7 linked regions of the Sus scrofa genome follow. The protein of the gene in region 2 interacts with the protein of the main gene of each other region in a pairwise test. Links are inferred from orthologs where the notes say so. Each region holds a gene or a part of one and is shown on either strand. Other genes may lie near its edges.

Region 1 (3,500 bases), on a different chromosome or scaffold from region 2:
TTTTTATTTATTATTTATTTATTTATTTATTTATTTTGTCTTTTTGCCATTTCTTGGGCCGCTGCTGTGGCATATGGAGGTTCCCAGGCTACGGGTCCAATCAGAGCTGTAGCTGCCGGCCTACACTACAGCCACAGCAACGCGGGATCCCTGACCCACTGAGGAAGGTCAGGGATCGAACCCGCAACCTCATGGTTCCTAGGCGGATTCGCCAACCACTGAGCCACAACGGGAACTCTGAGAGAGGTCCCTAGTAGTTTTTAATTAAGGTATATCTATTGTTCTGTGAGACACGGTGCTACTGCACACTTAACAGACCACACTACAGGGTGGACATAATTTTAAATGCACTGCGAAGCCAAAACTCCCTTTACTGCAGCATCGGCTTCACTGTGTGGTCCAGAACTGAACCCACAGCATCTCCAAGGCCTGCCTATATCTGGTTTTGTAAATTGAATTGTAAATTGAAAACACAGCTGGACGCATGTATTCACGTTCTGTCTATGGCTATTTTCTTGCTAAGTAGGGGTTTTTTTGGTTTGGTTTTGTTTTTGTTTTTGTTTTTTTTCTGTCTTTTTGTCTTTTCTAGGGCTGCACCTGCGGCATATGGAGGTTCCCAGGCTAGGGGTCTAATCAGAGCTGTAGCCACCGGCCTAGGGCCACAGCCACAGCAATGTGGGATCCGAGCCACATCTGCAAGCTACACCACAGCTCATGGCAACGCTGGGTCCCTAATCCACTGAGCGAGGCCAGGAATGGAACCCAAAACCTCATGGTTCCTAGTCAGATTCGTTAACCACTGAGCCACGACGGGAACTCCCTTGCTGAGTAGTTATAACACAGACCATTATGGCCCCCAAAGCCTAAAATATTTACTATCTGGCCCTTCACAGAAAAAAAAAAATTTCTAAACCCTAGTCCATAGGATGTATCAGAGAAGGGAGAAAATACAGGAAGTGAGGTGGTGGTTACAAGGGCCATTGTTTTAAGGTGACGTGGAGGATGACAGGTGCAGAGAGATGAGCCTTGTCTGTATCTACAACCAGATGGAAGAACAGAACAAGGATCTTCTAAGGCAGGACAGGCACTCATGCTTAGTTACCATCATTTTACGTGATTTATGCTGGTTAGGTCTCTGCTGGTTCTAACACTTTATGAATCTTTCAGGAAAAAGCAGCCCTTGTGGCCCTGGTTACCTGCAGGGTCGGAACTGTAGAGAGCGGCAGCGGTCGCTAGGGTTCCTGGCGGGTGGATGGCGCTCGCTGAAGACCTCTGACTTGCGATCAGGATCCGACTCTTGGCAGACGGTAAACGTGACATCGCGCCCAATCCCAACTGGGGCTTAAGGAGCATGGCCGATCGATAGAAGGTTGGAGGAACTTCATAGTGCGTATAGGGAGGAGAACAAAATTCCTCTTTTCCAGGGCGTTCTGCAACCTACGATAAGTGACCAGAAGCTCAGTCAGAGACCCGAGCATCATAGGACGAGTGCTGAACCCAGTCCAGACACCACGGCGCCAGCAATGACCACCGGGCACCATCGAGTCGCTCCACCCCCCGTCACTTACATTCACTGGACCCCGCGTCTTCATCTCCAAGTGGACCACGGCTGGATGCCCTCTTAGGTCTATGCTGGTTCTAACACTTTATGAAACTATATTTCCCTGGGAGAAAAAAGAACCCCCTCTATAAGATTTTTAAATTTGATCACCCCCAAACCATTGGAATTTGTGCAAGAAGTCAATCTATAAATAAAGACTGTCAATGATGCAAGAGGAGAATTTAGCAAATGTTCATGGAATTCGGAAAGTTCCATGATTGCTAAGGAGGAGAGGCACAATTTTTCTAGTGACCTAGTCTTCCGTGAAGTTGATGAACTTTATCAGGTGATGTGACGTCTTTATTAGGCTACTTAGGAAATACACTATGCACGGTTAATGAGGGAGAAAAGGTTATTGGGAGGAATGGAGAAGTTAATGCAAAGACGTCTTTGCTCAGGCCTCTACCTTCTGTTTCCATAATTAAAAAGGAGAGACTGTGAACTACCTCTGATTATCGTTCCTAGTAAGGTGGTGCCTGCAGGAATGTTTGAGCAAGTCTCACCAGGATGGAAGTTGGGGGCAGAGTCTTGCGTGAGGACTGCTGAATGCATCGCACCTAGAACAGCATTTAGCGCAGGGGCTGAAATCAGCAAACCTCTGGGAACTAAAGGGATCGTGTTTCCTTCTTTCCTGAATTTAATCACGTGACACCATGTGACAGTCTGCTGTGGTTCACAGGGCGGATGAGGATACTATTGATGGCTACCTTTTAAATAGGCAATCCTGTACTCACAAGCCTGTTCACAGTATCAGTGTTTCTTCACGGTAAAAAGAGAACGAAATAATCTTATTTCTTTTAAGTTAAAAAAAAAACAAAAAACATAGTGCCAGAGGCTACATTTGAAAAGATACAGATGTTAATTAACTCCGCTCTAAAATCACAATGCATTCGACTAGTCAAACCTCCATCTCTTCAGAAATCACAGGCGTTTAACCATATTCTTTAATAGGGGCTGTAAAGCTGTAATCCCGGATGTGGAAGCGATAAACCCTTAATTTAATACCCTTTGACTGTTGAAAGAGATACAAAGTTCTCCTCAAATTGACATTATTGAAACAAAAGACGAGGCCTTTAAAGTTTTATCATAATCACATTATAAAATATGCATGATCGCTAGAGCAGATAGATGGAATTCAGGCCACGGCAAATTCAATTCCTGTGAAAGAACATTCTACATCTGCTGCCTGATAAAATTTTCACCATTTTCTACTTACGCTCTTACTATCAATCCTCGGCTTTTCTATTATACTCACATTTCCTCTATTTTTTTTTAAATTTTACTTTCTAAATGTTTGGTGTCATTGCTCATTGCTTTTAGCTGGTGCTCCCATGAAGAAATCAGTATCATTTCTAACCTACATCTGCTGAGATTTTAGGATTGCAGTGTCCTCTGTGTCAGTAATGATTCTGTTCTTTCAAACCGGACAGACTCCAGGGGTCAAATCCATCCCACTGTTGGAGTTCCCATTGTGGATCAGCAGAAATAAATCTGACCAGCATCCATGAGGACGCAGGTTCAATCCCTGGCCTCGCTCAGTGGGTGAAGGATCTGGCATTGCTGTGGCTGTGGTGTAGGCTGGCTGCTGCAGTTCCAATTCAACCCCTAGCCTGGGAACCTCCAAATGCCACAGGTACAGCCCTAAAAAAAAAGAAAAAAAAAAAAAAACCCACCCCGCTGTCATTCAAAAATAACTTTAATGTTTTCAAGAGCTTCAATGTCTATCATTTTGTTGGGTAATTTGTCTCTAGTAAGATAACAAATTCTTTACAAAGGTGAGACGTATGCCTCAGATGCCTCATCTGTGCACTTTTAATAAAACAAGAGAGTCTACAAAAAGCTTCACATGCTTTGCTTTCATCTCTATTGACAGGACAGAGCAGGATTCACTGCAGTCACA
Region 2 (4,222 bases):
TGGAGAAGGAGCTGCTCAGGGAAGCTGGAAACTTCTACTCTGTTCCCCATTTTGAATTGGGTGACAGCAACACCGACGGTGTGGGGAGAGCCTAAAAACTACAACTTGGCACGTGCCACCTTCACAGCGCCCCCTCCCTCCAGCACTGGTGACAAGCGCTGACTCCTGCTGGGCAGCCACCACCTTGAGCCCTGCACATGCAGTAACTTATGAACCTTCACCATAACCTTGGTGTTCAGTCCCTCCCTCTGCCCATTTCACAGAAGATGGAAAGGGGCGGCACTGGGCGGTTTGGCTCCACGTCACTGCAGGAGGTTTTCTCCGTGAGCCCAGAATCAGAACATCATCAGGATGAGGCCCCACGGGTGAAGTTTCAGAATGAAAACCAGCAAATTCTAGAGGCAGCGGAAACGGTGAACCGAAGGTACATGAGGCAGGGTCCTTCTTGGGAGGCAGAAGCCTCATCTCTGTAACTGCAGGTGGGCTTTGGGGACGCTGGGCATTGAAAAGCCCTCACCCCGGAAAGATGGCGGGAAGTGACGTCATGTTGGCGCAGGCGCAGATACTGATGCCCAGTCAGTCACTGAGTATTGAGCCTCCTCAGTCCCCCTCCTACCACCCCCAAGAGCAGCACTGGGGGCAGGGGGCAGAAGGATGGCAGGAAGGGACACAGTCAAGACCTCACAGCTGCGATTTTGTGCCGTTTTGCCTTTTGCAACAAATAGATTTTTGACGTTAAAGTGGATCTTGAAGGAAAGACACTGGCCTCCCCCTGTCCTCAGGGGAAACTTGGGAACATAGTTTACAACCTTTCTGTGGGGTGAGGCTGAATAATATGCATGCCACTCGGAGGCTGTGAACACCCACCAGCGTGAACGGAACTCCTTCCTCAAACACAGCACAGGAAGCTCTCGGCTCACAGCTCTGCCTCTCCTGAGCTGTGGATGTTTGCGTTGTCACTTCCCTTCCTCGGACTCAGTCTCCTTGCCACGAAATGAGCCTGAACTTGAATCTTTGTCATCTTAGGAATACACTACATTATAGTGCGGAGTTCCAGACGCAAGTGGGGCTGGGTCAGCGGAAACAGAAACAAGGAAATTAACCAACCAGGGGTTTCCCCTGGTTTCCCTGACAATCAGTGCTTGATACGATCAAACACAGGTAACTTCCGTATCCAATTCATTGAGTGCTACCCAGTTATTTAAGATCCAGTAGAAAGGAAAACTCAGCTAACTCTTTTCCTCCTGAGCAGCACTATTCTTAAAACACAGAAATGACAACAAGCAAAGAGTCCACATCTGCTATTTTTTTTCCAAAAATTCAAAGGGTCATGGCACCCATATTTCCCAGAGCCACTGTTTTATAAACAGTAATTATATTTTTTGGTATTTTTTATAGCTGCACCGGCGGCATTTGGAAGTTGCCAGGCTAGGGGTCTAATCAGAGCTGCATCTGCAATCCATGCTGCTGCAGCAGCAATGCAGGATCCTCACTTAACCACTGAGCAAGGCCAGGGATCCAACCCGTCTCCTGTGGACACTATGTCAGGTTCTTAACCACTGAGCCACAACAGGAACTCCAAGAATTGTATTTTGAATGACTCTGAGATCTTACTTTACCAGAGATACGCCTAAATCATAAAAATATTGTAATATGGACAGTGTACTTTAATGTTAAAAACATAGTTTGAATTCTAATTCTTTTTAAAAAGCCCTGTTTCCAGACTTTCCATGCTCTTACTCAACTTTACCTTGTTAATCTATCTGCAAAAGGGCTATTTTTGAGGATAAAACAAATTACCATGGGTGACAGCAGTTTGGTAAATTTGATAAATACATACCATTCTTCAGGTATTTAAAAATCGCTGTACGTGAATTTCTCCAGAAATTCCTCTCACATGCCAAATCTGTACCTGGGATAGGCCTTCACTCACTTATTCACTTAAAATAATGATTGTATCCCAAGTCATTTCTATTAAACAGGCAATCAAACAAAGCCTTTTAGGAGGTGAGCAGACTCCAAGTTTAGAAAGAGAGGAGGGGAGTTCACTTGCTCTTCCAGTGACTCTTGGGAGGGTAAGACAATTCTGAGCAAACCTGCACAGTTTTGCCCTCTTCGCTGCCCCTCATGCCACCTCTGGGGAGCCCGCGTGAACCAGAGGGCGGGAGAGAGCAGGGAAAGGTCACGGCCAGGCCACCTGCGGCCACAGTCTGGTCCGCCTTCCGGGGGGCGGCGCGCCCACCCTGGGCCCTGCGCGCCCACCCTGGGCCCCACCCCGCACCCTCAAAGGCAGAAAGCGCCCTCAGACCCGGCCTTTCCCTCCGCCCGCGACCCCCACGGGCCACTGCCGGCCTTCTGCACGCTTCCTCCCTGGCAGCCCCGCTCGCGCCCCTCGGGGGACGCGGCCGCCTGCAGCAGGAGCTTCCCGCGCGCCCCGCCGCCCGCGTACCCCTCACCACGACCGCCGGCCGGCCCTCAGCGCCTCTGCTCTCCCGCCGGTGCAGCGACACCGGACACCGACACCGGACACTCGCCCGCCCGCCCCGCCAGCACCTGACCCCCCGGCGGAGGAACGCGCCGCGCGCCAGCGGGACCAGAACCCACGGGGACATCCACCCCCGCCGCCCGCCCGCTCGCCCGCACTCACTGGCCGCATCTGGCCCCTCCCGGCCCGCACCTGCCTGCGCGGGGCTGGGCCGCCTGATCGGGTGCCGAGGGAGGAGAAGGAGCAGTCGGCTGCACAGACACGCGGCCGCGACATGAGCCAAGCGCGTCCCCAGCCCGCCCGTCCGTTCGAACCTGCGGCACCGGGGCTGGTCCCGCCGCGCGCGTCCTGCGGACGGTGGTGAGATCCCGGCCAGGCACCAGGCTTCCTGGCAGGTGGGGCCTGAGCCGGCGGCGGGCGGGCCTTTCTTCGCTCCGCGGGCTGAACTTCTGTTCTGGCGCCTCTGGAGCTCACTTTTTGTTGTTGTTGTTGTTGTTGTTGTTGACTTTGAGAAAATTACCAAACTCTTGGGCACTTGTCCGGAGGGGTGTGGCTTTGTAGGAGGACAGGACCAAAGAGGAGAACAGCTGGAAAGATGGAGACTGGAGACAGCGGGGACGGGGAGAGAAAATGAAAGAAATCCAAAGAGAAGGGCAGAAGAAAAGGAATGCTGAGAGCAGCGGCCAAGTCAGGTTGGGGTGGTTGCTGAAGGAGGAGGAGCTGGCCGAGGAGGGAAAAGGAAATCTGGGAGGAAAGTTCAGTAGAAGCAGCGTGGAAACATTGGGGGGGCATGTTCCTTCTAGAGGAAACGTTCAGAATGTGTGCGGCAAACAGCCTGCTTTGGTGACCCCATGGTGCAGGTGTCAGGGAGAGAGGTTATAGACTGCGATGTGGTCCTCTTCCACGCAGCCTGCCTGACTTGCTCCTTCAGAATGAAACCTTCCCATTTCTAGGCTTCCCGTACTACAGAAGTTAGAGCCTTGGGGTAGAGGTCAGTCCTCCTGCCTAGCTATTTAAAGGCTATTCTGGAGATCCTATCTGGGGAGAATTCCTGGTTCAGTTTGGTTCCACTGCTTATTAAATGAATGGCCCCTTAGGGTCTTTCTGGCTGGAGTGTCATTTGGCCCTGGCTCGCTGCTGTGGCCAGCTCTGAAGGAAGCCTAACACTTCTTGCATGGGCAGTGGAAGAACTGTAAAGTGAGCATTTAACACATCTGAGAACCATTTAATGAACACTTGCCAGGAGCCAGGCCAGTGGTGACACTGGGGGCCTGCAGGGAACAGATGGCCAGGGCCTGCATTGCCATCCTCCCTGCAGCACTGCCTGCTACAGCAGCTCTATGTTTTATACCTCTTTGAAATCATAAACATCAAGTAAGGACTAATCTACCCCAGGAAGGTTTGAATCCTACCCAACACCCAGACACACAATAGGTATGCAGGATGTGTTACAGTTCAAATGCTCCACATGGTAAAATTGCTCCAAAAAACATCAAGGGGCTCTGTTATGTAATTACGAGGCCCTGAATTATTTTCTGCCCTTTGGGCCATGCTCTCAGTGGAAACATTTCCGACTCTGGCATCTGCAATGCGTTGTGGAGGACTGTCGCCTTCACATGGCAGCAACACTCCTACAGAGAGTAGGTCTGGGCCACGGGCCCTTGGCAGGAGACAGGGGCTGAGCCTCTGCTTCCTGCTGGTCCTTGGTGAGTCAGAGACACATAGGATGGGTGTCAC
Region 3 (3,423 bases), on a different chromosome or scaffold from region 2:
TATAAAAATACATTTTAAAGTGATTTTTTTTAAAAAATGTATTTGTGGGAGTTCCCTTCATGGCTCGGTGGTTACAGAGCCCAACTAGTATCCACGGGAACGTGGGTTTGATCCCTGGCTTCACTCAGTGGGTTAAGGATGTGACATTGCCATGAGCTGTGGTGTAGGTCACAGACACCACTCACATCTGGCATTGCTGTGGCTATGGCGTAGGCCAGCAGCTACAGCTCTGATTCAACCCCTAGCCTGGGAACCTCCATATGCTGTAGGTGTAGCCCTAAAGAGACCAAAAAAAAAAAAATCTATTTGCTATGTTAGATTACCTACAATAGTCTCCCTTAATTGGCATAGGAAATTAAAAGTCATTTATAATTTATTATCTCTGCTCTTGTATTTTCTTCAGTAAACATAGTCATCATTTATATTTGTAAATGGAATTACTCTTCAGTTTTCATGGCTTGTGAAATTTTTCTTTTCTTAGGAACAAGAGGACTCTGGAAATATGGTCAGCATTTTAATAACATTGTAAGTCCACGATGATAAATGATTCATTCTTCAGTTGTCCAGTTTCCTCAATTCCGAACTTGATCATACAATTTGAAATCCAACTGGCTTGCTCTTTGTTCAAACAGAAAAAAATCCCAAAACATAAAGACACTTTATTTTCCAGTGTTAGGCCAGTTTGTTCTCAAATTAAGGAGAATCTCAACATCTTGTTGAGCCAGTTTATAAATACCAACTTCATTTAATGCTGCTGCAGCAGGAGGCTGCCCTGAAGTTGACTGCAGGACATCTCTCAGAAGTAAAGCAGAACCAACATTCAAATTTAAAATAATACAGGCTTCTTTTACACTGTTTAAAAAAAAAAAAAAAAAAAAAAAGGAGGGAAATGAGATCTCCATTATCTTTATCATTCATATAATCCTGTAACAATTTCATTTTGAAAAACCAGTTTCCCTGCACTACTAGATCATATGTCCTCTATAAAAACTATTTATGGATTAATTTATTTGGCTCTTTTAATGTGTAATTTGTATAGAATTTATGTTTCATTAGATTACTGTTAGGTAGTAGGATCATTGTCTTCAATATGTATCCATTACTTCCCAAAATATGATACTTGATGTTAACAACGTATTAAATGTGGATAAGACTTTAGGTGGATTAGGATATAGGAAAAGAGAAAATTAATGGATAAAATAAAAGCAGAAAAGTATAAAATTAAAACAAAAAAGCAGAAAAAGCAGAAATAGATACTGAAATGAGCAAAAAAAATCATTTAAAAAAATCTTTTTTATATATTTAAAAGAAATACTTCATAATCTCAAAAACCTCCTAAATAATTTAAAATTTACATCAACAGTTTCTAAAAATACTCCTAAGACTTCCTAAATATATTTTTAGTTAGCCAAAATTTTATCAGATGTTTAAGCAAACAAATTTTATTCAGGCCTGGCCTATTACTCAGTACTAAACATATTTTAAATTTCTTCTATTTGTCATATATGGCAGAACTGCATCTACTTTCATTTTCTACTTATTTCTTAGTAATAAGCAAATAGGAACATTAAACCAAATGTTAGAAAACAAAGCCCAACATACAATTTATATCCAGTTCTGGCCAACATTTTGGGGGCCATGGGTCACAGCTTAGATTATTGGTACATGATGCATTTTTTTTCTTTTTTTGGCCATGACAGCACCATATGGAAGTTGCCGGGCCAAGAACTGAACCCAGCTACAAGCAGCGACCTGAACCACTGCAGTGACAAAGCCAGATCCTTAACCTGCTGCACCACAAGATGCACATTTTTAATTATTAATTGATGCTGTATATATTTAACATCGCTAGAACCCTAAAGTGTTAAAAAAAAAAAAGGAATCAACCTCCTCTAATAATTTGATACATCAAAATTAATTTTTAAATATTAGGCTTACTGTTTAAAATAATTTTCTGGTCTCTTGCAATAGTGGGAAAACAAAGGGAAAAGGTTCCGAGTCATGTCAAAGTGCAGCTGAGCCGCTCCTCCTTCATTGAAATGATTGGCAAGAATTATCTGAAAAAAGGAACAATTCATATAGCAGTCACCTTTATCACCACAGTCCCCATTACAGTCTGCTCTTACTTACTTCTTGGTAGATGTATATGTCCAGCTTCTCTACAAGCATCTGCCAGAAAATTTTAAATAAGGAGAAGCAAAGCTGCTGCTCCAACTGAAGTAAACGGTCTCGTAGAGTAAGCAGCAGTGGGCAAGCCGAGCTGGACAGGGACATCACCGCCTGCTCTGACTGAGACGGCAAGGACAACCACCTAGAAAAAAAGGAACAGTGCTGCTTGAAGCACATTAATTTTTATTATGAAATCTGTCATCACTCTATTTCTAAAGATTTTACAAATCATTTTAAATTTGGGGAAGTGCACTGTCCTGTGGCATTTTGGATAAGAAAAAATGCACAGTCCAACGTTAAAAGCTCTCTTAGAAAGTTAATGTACTTGTGTTTACACTAGTTCTCATATGTATACTAGTTCTTAATGAAATACTTTTTACTTAATAAGGATGATAAATTTTTTAAATCCCCAATTTCAATAGGACTCACTGATATAAAACACTTAAAATGCAACATGCATTAACATTTGAGATATCAGCTAATTTTATGCTCTTATTTTCAGCAAAACAACAGGGACTAAAAACACTTTCAAACTGGGAACGAGTGCTCTGTGTCAGGACAGTGCTGGGACAGACACTGCTTGCTCTCAAGGGGCTCACAGGCTAGAGTGGTAACAGGCGTCACAGGGCATCGTGACAGTGGACTAAAGGATAGTGCAAGCATGCACAGGCACTCGGAAGTACCTTGCTTTGAAAATGGGTGACAGGGTAGGCCATTCAACCTCATATCTTACACCCACCCCCTGTATTTACAGACATACCTGAAGATTAAGTTACGAGCAGTTTATTCTGATTAAGAATGTCTGAAAAAAAATTTTTTTAATAAAAAATAAATGAATAAAAAGGAGTTCCCACTGTAGTGCAGCAGAAATGAATCCAAGTAGTATCCAAGAGGATGTGGGTTCAATCCCTGGCCTACCTCAGAGGATCTGGTGTTGCCACAAGCTGTGGTGCAGGTCGCAGACACGGCTCAGATCCTGTGTTGCTATGGGCTGGCAGCTGTAGCTATGATTTGACCCTAGCCCCAGAACTTCCATATGCTATAGGTGTGGCCTTAAAAAAAACAAAAAGGAAAAAAACAGTTTGGACTGCAAAAGGCCAAACTCCGTGTTACCTAGACACCTTGGAAATCTGACTATATATGTCATTTCCTTTTTCTTTTTTGGCCGCCCCACAGCATATGAAGTACCTGGGCCAGGGATCAGATCCGAGGCACAGTTCCACCTATGCCACAACTAAAGCAAGGCTGGACCCT
Region 4 (4,084 bases), on a different chromosome or scaffold from region 2:
CATTGCTGCTGTTGTTATTTTCATTCTCAATAACATCTCTATCACCCTCAGGACCTGCCCTCCTTCAAGTATTCCTAAAGAGCCTAAACTCTTTTGTCCATCCCCAAGTCCTCCTTCTTGAAAAGCCTCTAGGATAATGAATCTCAGGTCTCCGCACTTACATAAGAAAGCAGGAGAGGGCCTCTGCATCAGGACTTTGGGATAAGTGCCTCCGTGCCAAGGCTTTGTAGCGCTGCCAGCGTCGGAAATTCTCATAAACACCCTTGGAGGTATAGGAGAGGTCACCCAGAGAGGGCTTGGATCGGGCGGCTGGAGGACCTCCTTCCCCAGTTGTCTCACGTGGTCCTGGCCAAGCCTTTTCTGGGGGTACAATGGGGGCCAGTTGGGCAGCTGGCAGTGGAGCCTGAGCAGAAAGGCCTGGTGGGCCCTCCTGGCTCACTCCAATAGCCTTGGTGGGCAGGAGGGTCTTCACGTTGGAGGCTGTCAGGAATCCGGTGGCAGGACACTCAGGGCCCCCACAGGGAGCACCTGAGGCAATCCAATTGAGGGCAGTCTGAGTAAGGATAAAGTTCTGAGTTTGAGAGGGCTCAGCCGGCCCCCCTTCTGTCTGGACTTTGACAATGACCTTGCTAGCTCCAGCTCCACTGGGGCCAGGGCCCCCATCCCCTGTTACCAGCAATGGACTAGGGAAAGCAGAGAGCACCAGGGGGTTGCCTAAAGAGAATGCTGGATGCATCGGGGGCTGTGAGGGCTGCTCCCAGGGTGGTTGGTCTGGTGGCCCAGGAGCAGGCTGGGGGAGGGGAAGTGCTGTGAAAGGAGACAGGGCAGCGCCAGATTTCATGGTCATGTCCGGTGCTGACAATGGAGACACTGTAGAGACAAAGAAAAAGAGGGGATGGAGGAGGAGAAAAAGAGACCAGCAGTTACGTCCATCTGAGTTCCACTCTAGTCCCTGAAGAAGCAGGCCACTGATTCTCAACAGGTGAGGAAGGGGGAACTTGTATAGTTTGCAAATGTCCTCCAACTGTTTCTGTCCCTTACTCCCCATTGACAATGACCTCTGAACCATAAGCTCATACCCCATGACACATGCCACCTAGCATCCAGGGACATCTTTTATTCCCACCCATTACAAACACATTCAAACCACCTGAACCCTGCTCCCAGCTGCTCTGTGGCCCCTGTCACCACTCAAAGAAGCACTATTCCCAGGAGCGGGTGTGTGTGTGTGTGGATTATATGTTTGGTTCCCAGAAATTTGTTACATAACAGCAAGGAATGACTAGAGATAAGGGCCAGGAAATGGATTGGGGAGGGCGGTGTGGAGAGGGAGGTTTCCAGAGCTTTAAATAACTGCTGGACGTGTTGTACTTTTATCTGTGATCTTTCTGTTCGGAGCTCCCAGTATCAGAAGTTTAGGATCCACTTTTGAACAAGGCACTGATAACGAAGACTGAAACACAGTTCCTGCTGAGCACGAGCTAGGAGGACTCTAGTCAAAGAAACCAAGGATAAATACGTAAAACATGTACTTAATTAACTGGGACATGTGTCCCTAAGACTTTTAATGATAATAATAGAAGATCATCTGGCTAATTTCATGCTACTCTCCTCCCCCTCTTATGAAGAATATTCCACTGGCAAATTAACAACACTCAGCTTCCTGACCGTGAAGGAGATGATGAAGAGCAGCAAACTTCCCCTGAAGCCTAGAGCAGAGGGCCAGGAATATTCCCCAAAGTACAGAACACCATGAAATGGGTCTGAAGGCCTGAGCTCCTCGAAAGGTGGAAAAAAAACAGAGCACCTCTGGAAAGTGTCAGTTCTCATCGCTGCTGAGTGACCTCCCACCCCTGGCCCTGGGGCAGCAAGGAAACCCACACCCTGAACTAAAGGCAGATCCAGGAGGCTCTGAACAGAGGCACTTACAGCACCTTCTAGTCTAGCTTCCTGGAGAACATTTCCCTACAGACTTGGCAACAGATGACCCCACTGAACGGTTTTCTAGCCAAGACTTCCAATCTCCCCCTACCCAATGAGATGGAGAGCAGCCTCAGCTCAGTTCTCTCCGCGCAAAATCCCAGAGCAGGCTCCAGCTGCCTAAAGAAGACCTCACGACTTGGGCCTCCCCTTTGAAACACTCGTGCCCCTTGTACAACGCATACCCCTGCCCCTGCCATACAGAAGCATGTTGAAGGGGTCCCTCTTCCAGAGAGGCAAGCTGCTAACTGCCATCCCTTCTCTCTACTCAGCACTCTCCTCTGAGGCACTTTGATTGGCCACCCAGGAAGCTCTCTTCCTCCCCCAATCCCCAGTTTTGTTGTTGTTGTTTTGGCCACACCCTCCAGGGGAGGAGGGGAGGCCAAGGATCATAAGCTCATCTCAGCAGGGACTTGACCCCAGCCACATTATGACAACACTGGATCCTTAACCTGCTGCACTACTGGGGAACTCCAGCTCCCACAATCTCCTTCCCTAGCCTTCCCAAGTGTGACGCCTTGGGTGGGGGTCTAGTGCACTCACATCCCTCTAGGTCAGCCCAGGTGAAGCGTCAAGTGTTGAATCTCCGAGAAGTGAGCAGGTGGTAGACTCTCCCCAACCTCCCCCACCTGCAGACTCACCTCCATCTGAAGCCATCCTCTCCGGTTTGGGCACTAACCGTGGCTGCCTGGAAGCCTTCACAATGACACGGTGGGTCCAGCACCCAGAGAGTAACCTGGCTCCAGTAGATACACAGGGATCCAAGGAAGGAATGGTAAACATCAGATCAAAACAGAACTAGAATCTAGGACCCAAGGCATTCTGCAGGGGGGGAGGGGAGGTGGCATTATGGGGTGGGGTTAGGGAGAGATTCCACAAAGGGCTCTGGAAGTGGGCAGTAACCAGGAATTCCCTCCAAATCAGAGTATGGCAACACAATTGTTGCACACCTCTCTGGGGCAACTTGCAGATTCTTTCCTGGATTCCCAACCACATCTTGGTTCCCTACAGAATTCTTCACCAATACATCTAGTTTTTGTCTTTCAATGCTACCCAGTTCTATAACTGACTTCCTATTAATAACAGGTTCTGGCAAACCCTTGACTTAATTCAGTGTTGGCTGTATTTTCTGAACCAAATTCAGAGCACATAGTCTGTGTACTTAAGGATCAAGGGAACAGAATGTTTGAAATTAGGGTTGTCTTAGAAGATCAAGGGCATTGAATTGCTGTATACATATCATTTCCTTGGAAAGCTGTGCTGCAGTTCCCAAACTGTCCACTACCATCAGCTCTGCAGTCCACAGAAGGCTTAGCCTTAACCCTGGCTGAAAAGCCTCCCATTCCATCAAAAACTGCTATTCAGCCTAAAATTTCAAGAGCAAAAAGTCCTTCTTTTTGTTTGTTATTTTTGTTTAAAATTTTTGTTAATAATCTTAATTTTTTAAATGGTAATATGTCAGCATGGTTCAAAAGTCAAACTATGCAAAATGAAATATAACAAGTCTCCAACCATTCCTTTCCTCTGGAACCGAGTTATTTACCCCAGGGAAAACCAAATTTCCTCTGAATCCTTGCAAAGGTATTTTATGCAATTATAATAAACACAAACTATACTCTTTTTAAAAAAGCTTTCAGCTTTTTCTGGTTATAAACTTAATATATATTACAACGTTTCTGCCGTTATAAATAATAACGGCCACCTTCGTAAAGATATCTCGGTTCCAAATTCATTGCTTTAACTAGAAGTCCTATAAGGAGAATTTGTACGTTCTTTTAAAAATTCGAAATACCCCTAAGGGGTGCGTCTTATTAGCTACTCACCACTATAAGAATGGGCGTTGAATTTGTGGTAGAGACTTGAGTTTGAATCTTGGTTCGACCATTAAAACATACTTCACCAGTTTCATAAAATAACTTCACGCTCTTTTCGCTGTACAGAATATTGAATACCCATCATGCACTCTTTACCGCCAATACTTTGAAATAGGGCGAGGGAACCGGATGTAAAAGAGGGGAGGGAAGAAAACCTTCTTCTTTCTTCCCTAAAGTAAAAGGGGTTCTGGGTCCTGGAGCCCTGGTTTCTCCAGGTAATAGAAGCTCAC
Region 5 (2,839 bases), on a different chromosome or scaffold from region 2:
GTCATGCACCTGCTGCGGCTCCCCATTCACTCCCTGGGTGACAGCCGGTGGCCCAGAGCAGGTGCACCCTCCGGGCAGTACAGGGCACAGCGAAGCCAGAGGCTGCTTGGCCCGTCCCTGCTGCGGCGGTGTGATGCTGTGATATCCTGTGTGTTTACCACTGGTTTGCAGGCAAGCTGAGGAGCCCCTTCCTGCAGAAGCAGCTCACCCAGCCCGAGACCTCCCTCAGCAGAGAGTCAGCCCCTGCCGCCTCAAGGCCCGCGGCAGGCAAGACTCCCGGCTTCCCCGGGGGGAGGGAGGTGGGGAGGGGGTTGGATGCCCTCTCCCCTCCCCAGGGTCAGCGTGGGCTGTGTCTTCCCCAGCAGATCTCCACGAGGAGCCGGTGCCCAGCGCCCCTCCGTGTCCTGTGCAGGTGGAGGAGGAGGAGGAGGCTGTGTACGAGGAGCCCCCAGAGCAGGAGACCCTCTACGAGGAGCCTCCAATGGTGGGTTCCCTGTGGCGGGGCCAGGCTGTGAAGAGGCCCCAGGCGCAGAACTGCTCTCCTTGGCAGTTCGACGATGTGCCATGCCCCCCACCCCCCAAGTCTGTCTTGAGCCCTGGCCTTGGGCAGGGTCGACTCTGGGGTCACCAGGACCCCAGACCTCTCCTTTCTTTCCCATCCATGGGCAGGTGCAGCTGCAAGAGGCCAGTTCGGCACACGTTGACCACTACCCAGGGCTGAGTGGCAAAGGGCTCTGTGCCCGGGCCCTGTACGACTACCAGGCAGGTAACGTGCTATAGCCCAGCCGCCTTGAACCGTGGGGCCCAAGATCAGGAGGCAGGATTTGGGGCTCCCTTGGGGGAACGGCCCCAGGGGGTGTTGAAGTGAGGACGGGAGGGCGGGTGGGTGCCCAGGCCTCCCCATGTGCTCTGGGCGCCTACTTCGTCTCCACTGGGGTCGATCCCAGTTGCCTGCCTTGTTCTGGAGCCAGGGAGTGACCACAGAATTGGGCCAGGCCTGGATGCCAGTGTCCCTGCTGACCCAGGCGGGGGCCTCGGGGACAGGCGGCCCTGCAGCAGTGCGGTCTGGACTCCAGCCTTTCGCTGGAACCCCGGACCGAGGCAGACCCTGTAGCAAGGGTGTCCTGGGCGAAGGGCCACAGGAGTGGCATCAGGACAGGCTGGGGGCAGCCCCCAGGGTCCCAGAGTCCCCAGCAGGGCCTCTGGGCTCACCTCCTTGCAGCCGACGAGACCGAGATCTCCTTTGACCCTGAGAACCTCATCACGGGCATTGAAGTGATTGACGAAGGCTGGTGGCGCGGCTACGGGCCCGACGGCCACTTTGGCATGTTTCCTGCCAACTACGTGGAGCTCATTGAGTAAAGACCCCAGTTGCTGGCGAAGCGAAGGGCTGTCCGTCTCCACCCAGACGGGGTCTCCTGGTTGCTGGAAGAGGTGGCGCAAGGAGTGTGTGCGGTGCTTTTCCAGGAAGGGGACCCCTGATGCGGACGAGCCCTCGGGCTGCCTCTGGCTTGGGTGGCTCCGCCTCTGTTACCCCACATGCAGCAATAACCTGGTGATCTCCACATGTGCTTCCACCAGCTCCCCAGTCCTCCCAGACAGCCTGGCCCTTGACCCCCCTCAGCAGGGCACACTGAGCCAAGTCCTCCCCAGGGCCAGATCCCCAGGGACCTCTGCCCAAGAAGTACGGCACTGCTGTGCTGCGGGCTCTGAGCAGGGGCATCCGGAGGCCGCCTCCTGCATTTGCCTTCTCCTCCTTTCTCTCTTGGCTCTAAGGGTTGGTGGCGGTAGCTGTTAATGACCCTTGGGAACAGTGAACTGAAGAGTTTATGACCAAAGTTGGGGCAGGGATCCACGACAGTTTGGGCAGCAGGTGTTCGCTTTCTGAACTCTACCCTGTGCTCCCCACTTCTCTGCCCCTCTGCCTGGGTGGTGGGCGGTGGGCAGTGGAGATGGGACCGACCAGACCCCCATCTGTGTGTGCAAAGGAAGAGGTGAGAACATCAACAGACGACGTGGCCTTCCGCGTGGCTCACTCCTGTCTGCCGGCCCATGTGCTGCTCAGTCGATCTGGGTCAGGAACAGGTACCATGGTGGCCGGTCCTGCTGTCTGCCTTATTTCCGCCCCAGCCCACCCTTACCTGCTTTTGGAGTCAGAATTGCCCCACGCGGGCCCCAGCTCTGATCCATCCTGTTACAGCCTGAATCCCCCACCACCACCCCGTGGAAACAACCCCCTTTCTGGTGTTGGGGGTAGGGGTGGGTGAGTCACCTGTGCAGGCTGACCCCTGGCCAGTGTTAGCCACCCTGAAGGGGCATAAAGGTTAACGTGACTCAAATGAGCCTCCTGCATTTCAGTTCTGTGGGAGGGGCCGCCCTGATCCTTGCCATGGGGGGGCTTCCCCCCAAGCCAGGCACTTGCACCCCCTGGGCGTCTGGGGAATTGCAGCTGAGCTGCAGGCAGGCTGCTGCATGTCCTGGTTTCTTGGGGCTGGGACTCAGGCACCCCCTTGCCCTTCCCACCCTGGGGCTGCCAGGACAGCAGAGGATGACCGGTCCCAAGGCCACAGCGCGTGCTCGTTTTGAGGAGGGCTGGGTGCCTTGGGCTCTGCCCAGATGACCCCAGGCACTGATTAGGTCAGGGTCACCAGACCAGGTGGCTCTTCAACTTTCCGGGCTTGTCAGGAGCCACCTGATAACCAGAGAGCCTGGTCCCCAAGGTCCCCACCCCCAGTGGGGGTGGGCTGGGTGCGGCGTGGGGGCCTGAGGCCACGGGTGTGAGGCTCCCAGGCTCCGGGCCTGTGGAGCAACCCCCGAGGGAGTGCTGGGGAGTGGGCCT
Region 6 (4,256 bases), on a different chromosome or scaffold from region 2:
CTTCATCTTTTGACTATTTGGAAACTACGGGTTGTCAACAGCGACACCGTGTGGCTATAAGATGCAATGACAATGGCCGCCAGACCTTCGCCTTAGGTATGTGGCAGCTGGATTTTCCCCTGAGAATTTTTGGGTCACTTAACCAGCTATGAATTTTTGAAAATTTTGGGCAGGGGCCCTATTTGTAGATGATGAATTTATTAAAGTGATAAATAGAGGATTTAGTTGATTTCTTTTTGTGGGAAAAAAGATCAGTGATCATATTTGTGCACTGTGGAGACTTTTTTTTTTAAACCCAGTTTTGTAAATAGTTTTTACTGGTTTACTATATAACACATATATAGTTTTTACATATATATAAAACAAATTATGCATGAAAGCTGTGTTTGAAGATACCCAAATTAAACCCTTTCCATTTTATATTCCATTTGAAAATTGATCTATGTTTCCCCATCATCTCCAAGATAAAGTCCCAGCTCTTCAGCACATTTGCTAAGACCTTCCTCTTATTCTCCAATATGCAACACACTCCTTAGCTTCCTTAAGAAGCCCATTATATTTGCCAATGTTTTGGGAGCTAGGCTTTTGGGGAGGGCAGATATGACCTGTACCAAGGAGCTCAGGTTTAATTACAGAAAAAAAAAAAAGTGAGATTTACTGAGCACTTGTGAGCTAGGCATTGTAATAAAGTGGTTTGGAGTTATTAATTTGCACATGAGGTTTCTCCAAATACCTTCTCCTATCTGTATTACTGGGGAAATAATTCCAAATCATTCTTATGCATATTTCTAGGTTTGTAGTTTTCTGCCTTGGAAATCACCTATTGAAGCTGGGGTTCCGCCCTGCAGATTCTGATTTAATTTGTTTTGGGCTTGAGCATCATTTTCGAAGCTCCTCAGGTGATTCTAATATACAGCTGGGGTGAAGACTTTAGCGACGGATGTAAATAATCTTTCTTTCCCTTCCGTGCCCTGCATACCTTTCCTGATCATGTCTTATCACATTGCACCTTCTTTTCAGGGTGTATATCTAGCTCCCTAACTAGCCTCTGAATATCCCCAGTCAGCCACTTTTGCATTTCTGGAACGCGATTTATGGCCTGACATTTGGCGGAAATTTGGCAAATGCTGAATGGGAAGGTAAAATGTCCTCAAGACATACTTATTTCCGTGTGTGTGTGTGTGTGTGTGTGTGTGTGTGTGTGTGTGTGTGTACGCACGCGCTCGCGCGCCGACCGCCTCAAATGTGGATTTCTGAAGTTTTCCTGGCAAATGAGGACCCAGGTAAGCGAACAGCAGTTGCGAGGAGAAGGGGTCCAGCAGCTGTGGAGCACAGACGGCAAAGCCGCAACAGCAAACTATCGCTCACTTTAATGGTAAGCCCCGCCCCCAGCAGCAGAGCCAACCAGAGGGCACGGAGCAATCCCAGCCTTCCTGGGCGGTCTGAGAAAGTCGCTAGGGCTTTCAGAGCCGGAGCAGAATCGGGCTCGTCGATGAGCTCGGGCTCGATTGGCTGGCCTCCCACGGTGGAGTAACGGTCGTAGAGGCGGGGCGGGAGGCGGCTGAGCCGGCCGGGCTGGGCGAGCTGCTGTAGAGAGGCGGCAGCTGAGGAAGGTAAGCGGCCTTCGGGGTTCACAGAGGCTTTGCCTGGAGCCCCTGCTTGAGCTTCCACCGGAAATGGTCTCGTCTGCGCAATGCGAGTGGTCATACTGACCCTTACTGGGGTCCCCAGAGAGGAGCTGCCTGGGACGGGTTGGCGCCAGTTAAAAATCCCTGGATAAGGAGTTTGGGGGCGGGTGGGGGGAACCTGATCGACCTGGTCCTAGTCCTGGCTCCTCGCCCCTTGTGATCTTTGGCTCCTCATTTAACATCTCAGCGCATCAGTTTCTTCAGTTGTAGACGACAGCTGGTAAATCTTTCCTTACAAGGTGGTTGAGAAGGTTAATTGAGGTAGTGAGTGTGAAGCTTGGACGGATACCTGGCGCAGCCTGGATTCTGGATAGTTGTTGGTAGTTACTCCGTCCCCATGCGCTGGCCGGGGGGTCTCGCCCCACGTTTCAGAATCTAGGTGCCTGGGAAGGTAACTTGGCGAGTGAAGGCTCGTAGCAGAAGGTGGGGGATACACAAAGGGGTAGGTGAGTAATCCCTTCTCTGGTTTAAGTAATCTTTGCAGAGTTGGAGAGTCTCTTTATGTGGAATCTAATATGATTTTATTAAGAAAATCAGTGAGATGGAAATGTTGAAATGTAGAAGGGTTTCTGTACCACTTTATTTTCTATACATAATAATGGTAAAGACTGTGCGGGCATTACCTCTTTTGGCCTCAATCTTCTTCTGCATGAGGTTTTGTTTTGTTTTTACTTTTGGTATTGTCAAGTAGACCCGGGCCTTCCCCACCTCACCTTGGGAAAAAGGTGGCTGGCTGGCTAGGGTTTTGCCCGCAGCTTCTGCTTAGTGGCCTATTCTAACCTTTTATGTAACCTCTCCTGGGGCAGGATGATTTAATCGAGGTAAGATCCGATCCTAATTCTGTTTCCTTAGATTCGCTTCTTAGGAACGTTAAACAGTGTATTGGTATATTTTTGGGATGGCGCTTTTGCATTTAACAGACAATAGAGACTTTGAAAGCATTGCACATTCCATTTATTGCAGTAAAGTGAAATATGTGCTTTTGAGAAAGCTAATTACAGGTTTTGAGGTGACTCAAAAAAGAACAGCTACCAGCCATGCTTTATTCCCAGCTTGTCCCCAAAAAAGTAGTGAAAAGCAACTACATTTTAATGTATGGGGCATGAGCCAGGGGCTCCAAACCTATAAGGGGTAAGTTACCAAAGGGCTCTTGGGAAACCTAGACAGTGCAAACAGAACTATGTTTGGCTTCTCTGTGCTTGGTTTTCTGTGGTGTGTATGAACCAACTCCTACCCCGCAACTCCTTTTCCCACAGTTTTACTTTAGGTATCTTATGACACTGCTTAAAGCAAGCCACACCATCTGCTTTGGTCCTGGGAAGCACTGGGTCTCTTCTGGTGACTCACAGACCTGTGTCCTGGCATAGCCCGTAGTGGGGAAAATGCTGCTGCAAACTATCTGTAACATTAATTTCACAGCATAGACCTCTGAAAAGAAGGGCTTTGTCACAGGTGAAATTGATAGTTGTTCTCCTTGTCTTTGTGTTTCAGTACCAGTTGTCTGAGAGTACCCTTGCCAATGAGAATATTGTTTGAATACCTTTGAAGTCAGAATCAGATTTGATGCTAGATGATAATAGAGTTGGGCTCTCAGGTATATGTTTCAACAAAACAAAGAAAGACAAGGGGAGAGAAGGCAAGGGTGAAGGCACGTGGTGGTGAGCACTGGAGTCCATTAGCAGTTGATTCAGTAGATGCAGCTCCCTGTAGTCAGTCATTAACACCAAGAATACCTGCTCTGAGGATAACACAAATCATTCTTAATAGGAGATGAATGTTTAAGATGTGGGCCTGTTTATCTTTTTGAAACCTAGATGAAGATGCAGTTTCAGACGTGAGGCTCACTGGGTGATCATTTCATTCTGATCAACTTGAATGACCAGGTGAAAAGTGTAAGAGGAACGTGCTATGACTGAGGTATGTCTGACGCAATAAATAACTCCCTCTGGATGTTGAGAGGCTGTGGAAAGGATCTACTAATTATGGAATACTATGTATTTATTTCCTTTTGACCTCTTCATAATCCTATCAGATATTTTAAACCCAATCAAGGAAACTGAAGAGGTTAAGTAACTATTTAAGATAGTACAAGTAGCTGGTCACCAACTCTGATCACCACCTGTCTTGCTGTGTGCCAGGCACTGTTCCTTTTGCTTTTATTGTTATTTAACAAAATGTTTTTATTAAAAAATGACTTTTTATTATGAAATCAAACAGAAAAGAACACATATACCAAATGTATAGCTTAATGAATTATTAAAATCTGATACCACCCAGGGTAGGGTGGAGAACTATGCTAGCTAGCCATGCCAAGAATTTGCTTATCCCAATCACAACTGCTTTTGTCCTCTCATTAGTAGCTATTTTTCTGACTTTTATACTAGTCGCCTCCTTGTGTTAGTTTTTTCATAAATCCATATTCTTTGACACTATAATGTAGTCTTGCTCACTAAAATTTTTAAAAAATCTCTTGTAGATTGTTTCCCTATTCCTTTCTTTTCCTTATAATTTATCTAATGAAGAACTTGGTCATTTGACCTATATGTCCTATAGTCTGGATTTTGCAGA
Region 7 (4,289 bases), on a different chromosome or scaffold from region 2:
ACTGATTCACTACGAGGTGCCTTCTGAAGTTCTGCAGCACAGTGGCCTTAGGCCCAAAACCTAATTTTTTTTTTCTTTTTTTGGTCTTCTGTCTTTTTAGGGCTGCACCTGTGGCATATGGCAGTTCCCAGGCTAGGGGAAGAATTGAAGCTGAAGCCGCTGGCCTACACCACAGCCACAGCAATGTGGGATGGGGCCGCATCTGCGACCTACACCACAGTTTACAGCAACACTGGATCCTTAACCCACTGAGCGAGGCCAGGGATCGAACCCTCGTCCTCGTGGATCCTAGGCAGGTTTGTTAACCACTGAGCCACAACGGGAACTCCAGAACCTAATTTTAAGTTAAGATTCATAGGTAATTCTTATGCATGCTAAATTTAAAAAATCATGCTGTACTGTAAAGGTATCTTTACCAGATTTTAAAGTTTACATCTCAGATGATGCATAATGTCTTTGCATAAATTGAAAATAACGCCTATCCACTTGGCACAACTGTGAAAAAGCCAACTTTGACAAAAAAAAAACAAAAAACAAAAAACAAAAAAAAAACAAAGGCTCTCAATAGTCATTCAGGAGTGCCAGAAATGTCTTCTGAATTAAGCGAATAACTATTAATTTCTCTCAGGAAACCATAGTGGGTCTCTATTCCGTATTACTTCATTTCTCCAAAATCTATTACTTTTTTGTTCTAAGTAACCATTAGAACTGTTGCTACACAATGTGCAACATGGTAACAAGAATTTCGGGGAAAAATCTCTAAGTACCATCAATTAGTTGTATTGAAAAACCTAGTAATCCCTCAAATCTGAACACACTTGCTGAGGAAGTAAACTGCCTCAAGCATTTGAGTGCTTGCTTTTAGTAACAAACAAAGCTGATTACAAGAATTAACCTTTTTAAATTTGGGGGATTCAGAACATTTTAAACAAAGGAAAGGCCAACAGAACATAGTTATTTCTTTCTGTCAACCGCCTTCCCCCCTCAAGCCCAGCAACAATAACAAAGAAGGCTGCTTATAGCAGATGCAGGAAGAGACACCTGATCTTTAAAAGCCTGGGAAAGAATAAGTTAGTACTACTCCAACAGGCAAGCTTTAATTAATTCATCAGTAGTCTAAATAAATTCTATTCCCTTAAATGGTTCAAGCTCTCTTGATTGTAATATAGGTGTCTATGGTTGGTTTTCATTTTTTAAGTCGCCTCCCCCGCTAAAAGCCAAAAAGAAGGCATATGAGCCCCAAATTGACCCAATCTTCCTTACTAACATAAGAGAGACATAGAAAAACCTGAGCAGGCACAAAAATGCGATCTAAAAGTGAAAAAAAACAACTAAAACACAAAAACACCAGCAAGCTACACTTGTGATCTAGTGCAGTATTAGTGCAGTATTGGTTACGGCTGAACTCAATCCTTTGAGCCTCCCAGCTCCCAGGGGGAGACCTTAAGTCTCGCACAGCTCTCTAGCAACCCTTCTGGCTGACTGAAGAAACACAGTGGACGCTTCACAGCAAAGGATAAAGCAGGGAAGAGGGCATCATCTTTCCGGGAGAGAAACGGAATCTTTAAATGAGGGAGAAAAACGAACGGGCGAAAGAGCAGAAACCTCAAAAAATTATGCCAAAAGGGACAATAAGGAGGAAGGGGAAGTAGATTAGACTAAAAGGGGGGAGGGGGCAAGTGACTTGCATTATACGGAGTAAGCATTTCGTGGCCGCAGAAGACAAGGGAGAAGTTTAGAAAGGCAGCAACTGTGGAGTGCAAAGTGAACAGAGGGACTAGAAAGCCCAGAAGACTAAAGCGAATTTCTCTAGTGCGCCTTTCTTTTCCACCCTCTTCTGAGACTCAAGAGTAGCAAAAGACAGAACCCGCGAGGGCACTTCGGCTCTTCTGCAAAGTATACTTTTGCTGCATCTGAAGCCAGCCTAGGTGAACTCCCTAAATAAGCTGTTAACTAGCATGGCTTTACAATCCTATACACAGAGAGAGCTGCAAATGAAAAGTGCCAGCGATTCTCTGCCCTCGATCACGGAAATCTTTCTTCGGAGCATTCCGATTAACTGCTGCTTACTTTTCTTAACAAATGTTTTTAGGGAAGCAGTCAAAAAAAAAAAAAAAGCGCAATAAAAGTAAAGGTATTTCTACTGGCTCCGGTAACAAACGTCCTCGCTCACAGTATTAATAGGGTTGGTGGGTTTCCTCCCAAAATTCGGCCCCCAAACACCAGGAGTTGGTGACGTGGTGGCCGTATAGGTCGAAGGAGCATCAATCACCATATTTGCAACCCGCCTCGAATCCCCCGCCTCCCGGGCCAAGTCACACTGACTCACAGAATGATTACCCTGTGTTCTCGGGCTTCTCCGGGTCCCCCCTGTGCAAACCTTCACGAAGAAAGCATAAAATTAAATCAGGAGCCCCCAGCCTCTCGTCCAGGGCTCTGTTCCAAGCCAAGGGTACTGAGAGGACGGTCCCCGGGAAGGAAGCGCCCCAAAAGGGGAAACATGGAGCCCGGAGCCCGGGCGCTCCGCTCCCCGCCCGGAGCCTCGCACTCCCGACCCCCAGGCCCGGCAGCCCACGGTACCCTGGGCCCGGTCCCCCGGGGCCGACTCCCGCGACGAAGCGGGGAGGAAGCAGCACGCGAGCAGCGCCGTCGCCGCCAGCCACACTCACCGTGGCGCAGCTGCTCCGCTCCACGCCCGGCCGGCCCCTCTGCAGCGGTGCGAGCGGCCGCAGACCCCTCTGCTGCTCCCCGAGGGCAGCGCCTATTCTCGCCGCCGTCACCGCCACAGTCTTCGTCGTCGCCGCCGCGGTCCGGTAGCTGAAGCAGCACAGCCGCCTCGCTTCCGCTCCTGGTCGGGGTCCCGCGAGAACTTCCCTGTGCGGCCCCGCCCCGCCCCGCCCCCGCGAGACTTCCCCCGGCGGAAAAGGCCCAGAGCGCAAGCGCTCCTCCTCCGCCAGGCCCCCCGCAGGTAGATCAGCTACAGGCCAGAGCGCAGGCGCCAGGCCGCCCCGCAGCAGGTGGCACCGACAGGGCTCCACCCCTGGGTCGCCGTAACCCTTTCGGTGCCAGAGCGGGTCAATTACAACTCACCTCCGAAAGAAAGGACTTTTTTTTTTTTATGCCCCACATTTGCATGATTCAATTGTCATATTACTTTTGATGGCCGATATCAACTTATTTTTTTTTTATTTCTCCACTGTACAGCAAGGGGGTCAGGTTATCCTTACATGTATACATTACAATTACATTTTTCCCCCAGCCAAGAAAGGACTTTTATGCACACCCTAATCACTTCGTTTTCCCCTTCCACCAACCCAGTTTGGCGGGGTTGGGGGGGAATCTCCCTCCCACGTGAAGCAAGCCAAATAGAGGATCAGGTCTGGAAATATTTGAGAATCTGGTCCAAACAAACTCTGCTGCGTTAGGTGAATGAACATATTCGTTCGCTCATCGATTGAACCAAGTGCCTAGTACATTCTAAGCACTGTGTCAAGTATAGAGGGTCCAACTAAGAACAGAAATCCGGGCCCTTTCTGCACAGAAACGAATTCAAGATCTATAGGAGGGAAAGAACAAATAATACCATAAGTACGGTCAGAATTATTTGGAGAAGGCTGAGGAGAGGCGAGGGGTCGCCGCTCCTCCCATCTCAGAAAAGCGTTCTCGGAGAACGCTGTGGCGTTATCTGAGCTGTCTTGGAGGATGAGTAGGAGTTTGCCAGAGAAGCCATTGCAAGGGCATTCCAGGCAAAGGGAACAGCACGCACGTACGAGGGAACGGAGGCGTGGGCATCGTGTTCCCTGCAACGCGAAGTAGTTTGATTCCTGTATGAGGCGGGGTGAGTTACCTGGTAGTGGCAGAAGATGAGGCTTGGAGGAGTAACTCTTATTTTTCAGTCCCAATCAAAGGAGAGAACAGAGCATCTGACGGTGATGTGAATTCCGGAAGCCACCAAAAGAGCAAGATATAAAAATTAAGAAACGTGGGAGTTCCTGTCCTGGCACAGTGGTGAATGAATCTGACTAGGAACCATGAGGCTGCGGGTTCGATCCCTGGCCTTGCTCAGTGGGTTGGGGATCTGGCGTTGTCGTGAGCTGTGGTGTAGGTCGCAGACGCGGCTCAGATCCCGCATTGCTGTGGTTCTGGCGTAGGCCGGCAGCTACAGCTCTGATTGGACCCCTAGCCTGGGCCCTAGAAAGGCCAAAAAGACAAACAAAACAAAACATGATTCCCTGAAGAAAACAAGCCCGTTGAAATAAAGAGTATGAATTATTCTTTCACCAAGTATT

What was found.
Region 1: the proteins of SH2 domain-containing protein 4A-like (region 2) and MTUS2 interact in binary tests that used the Homo sapiens proteins (3 or more experiments, as listed by UniProt). The two-hybrid records come from large-scale screens. The link is inferred for Sus scrofa from reciprocal best matches to the Homo sapiens genes SH2D4A and MTUS2.
Region 3: the proteins of SH2 domain-containing protein 4A-like (region 2) and RINT1 interact in binary tests that used the Homo sapiens proteins (3 or more experiments, as listed by UniProt). The two-hybrid records come from large-scale screens. The link is inferred for Sus scrofa from reciprocal best matches to the Homo sapiens genes SH2D4A and RINT1.
Region 4: the proteins of SH2 domain-containing protein 4A-like (region 2) and NUTM1 interact in binary tests that used the Homo sapiens proteins (3 or more experiments, as listed by UniProt). The two-hybrid records come from large-scale screens. The link is inferred for Sus scrofa from reciprocal best matches to the Homo sapiens genes SH2D4A and NUTM1.
Region 5: the proteins of SH2 domain-containing protein 4A-like (region 2) and DBNL interact in binary tests that used the Homo sapiens proteins (3 or more experiments, as listed by UniProt). The two-hybrid records come from large-scale screens. The link is inferred for Sus scrofa from reciprocal best matches to the Homo sapiens genes SH2D4A and DBNL.
Region 6: the proteins of SH2 domain-containing protein 4A-like (region 2) and CEP70 interact in binary tests that used the Homo sapiens proteins (3 or more experiments, as listed by UniProt). The link is inferred for Sus scrofa from reciprocal best matches to the Homo sapiens genes SH2D4A and CEP70.
Region 7: the proteins of SH2 domain-containing protein 4A-like (region 2) and GRB2 interact in binary tests that used the Homo sapiens proteins (3 or more experiments, as listed by UniProt). The link is inferred for Sus scrofa from reciprocal best matches to the Homo sapiens genes SH2D4A and GRB2.

The regions. Positions count from the first base shown.
Region 1 is NC_010453.5:6,202,815-6,206,314, reverse strand, and holds part of MTUS2 (microtubule-associated tumor suppressor candidate 2), read right to left. Parts: intron 1,438-3,500; coding exon 1,197-1,437; intron 1-1,196. UniProt on the Homo sapiens protein: Binds microtubules. Together with MAPRE1 may target the microtubule depolymerase KIF2C to the plus-end of microtubules. May regulate the dynamics of microtubules at their growing distal tip.
Region 2 is NW_018084867.1:67,350-71,571, forward strand, and holds the start of SH2 domain-containing protein 4A-like, read right to left. Parts: upstream 2,801-4,222; 5' UTR 2,678-2,800; intron 2,505-2,677; exon of another isoform or gene 2,450-2,504; intron 1-2,449. UniProt on the Homo sapiens protein: Inhibits estrogen-induced cell proliferation by competing with PLCG for binding to ESR1, blocking the effect of estrogen on PLCG and repressing estrogen-induced proliferation. May play a role in T-cell development and function.
Region 3 is NC_010451.4:105,423,853-105,427,275, reverse strand, and holds part of RINT1 (RAD50-interacting protein 1), read right to left. Parts: intron 2,869-3,423; exon of another isoform or gene 2,312-2,868; coding exon 2,131-2,311; exon of another isoform or gene 2,058-2,130; coding exon 1,939-2,057; exon of another isoform or gene 1,701-1,938; intron 1,006-1,700; exon of another isoform or gene 853-1,005; coding exon 660-852; 3' UTR 519-659; coding exon of another isoform or gene 482-518; 3' UTR 1-481. Other genes in the region: EF-hand calcium-binding domain-containing protein 10, read left to right, coding at 482-518. UniProt on the Homo sapiens protein: Involved in regulation of membrane traffic between the Golgi and the endoplasmic reticulum (ER); the function is proposed to depend on its association in the NRZ complex which is believed to play a role in SNARE assembly at the ER.
Region 4 is NC_010449.5:80,156,698-80,160,781, forward strand, and holds the start of NUTM1 (NUT family member 1), read right to left. Parts: upstream 2,801-4,084; 5' UTR 2,764-2,800; coding exon 2,622-2,763; intron 871-2,621; coding exon 162-870; intron 1-161. UniProt on the Homo sapiens protein: Plays a role in the regulation of proliferation. Regulates TERT expression by modulating SP1 binding to TERT promoter binding sites.
Region 5 is NC_010460.4:48,712,835-48,715,673, reverse strand, and holds the end of DBNL (drebrin-like protein), read left to right. Parts: intron 1-171; coding exon 172-267; intron 268-365; coding exon 366-484; intron 485-669; coding exon 670-766; intron 767-1,222; coding exon 1,223-1,362; 3' UTR 1,363-2,339; downstream 2,340-2,839. UniProt on the Homo sapiens protein: Adapter protein that binds F-actin and DNM1, and thereby plays a role in receptor-mediated endocytosis.
Region 6 is NC_010455.5:79,384,141-79,388,396, reverse strand, and holds the start of CEP70 (centrosomal protein of 70 kDa), read left to right. Parts: upstream 1-1,456; 5' UTR 1,457-1,613; intron 1,614-3,502; 5' UTR 3,503-3,596; coding exon 3,597-3,605; intron 3,606-4,256.
Region 7 is NC_010454.4:5,939,234-5,943,522, reverse strand, and holds the start of GRB2 (growth factor receptor-bound protein 2), read right to left. Parts: upstream 2,801-4,289; 5' UTR 2,670-2,800; intron 1-2,669. UniProt on the Homo sapiens protein: Non-enzymatic adapter protein that plays a pivotal role in precisely regulated signaling cascades from cell surface receptors to cellular responses, including signaling transduction and gene expression.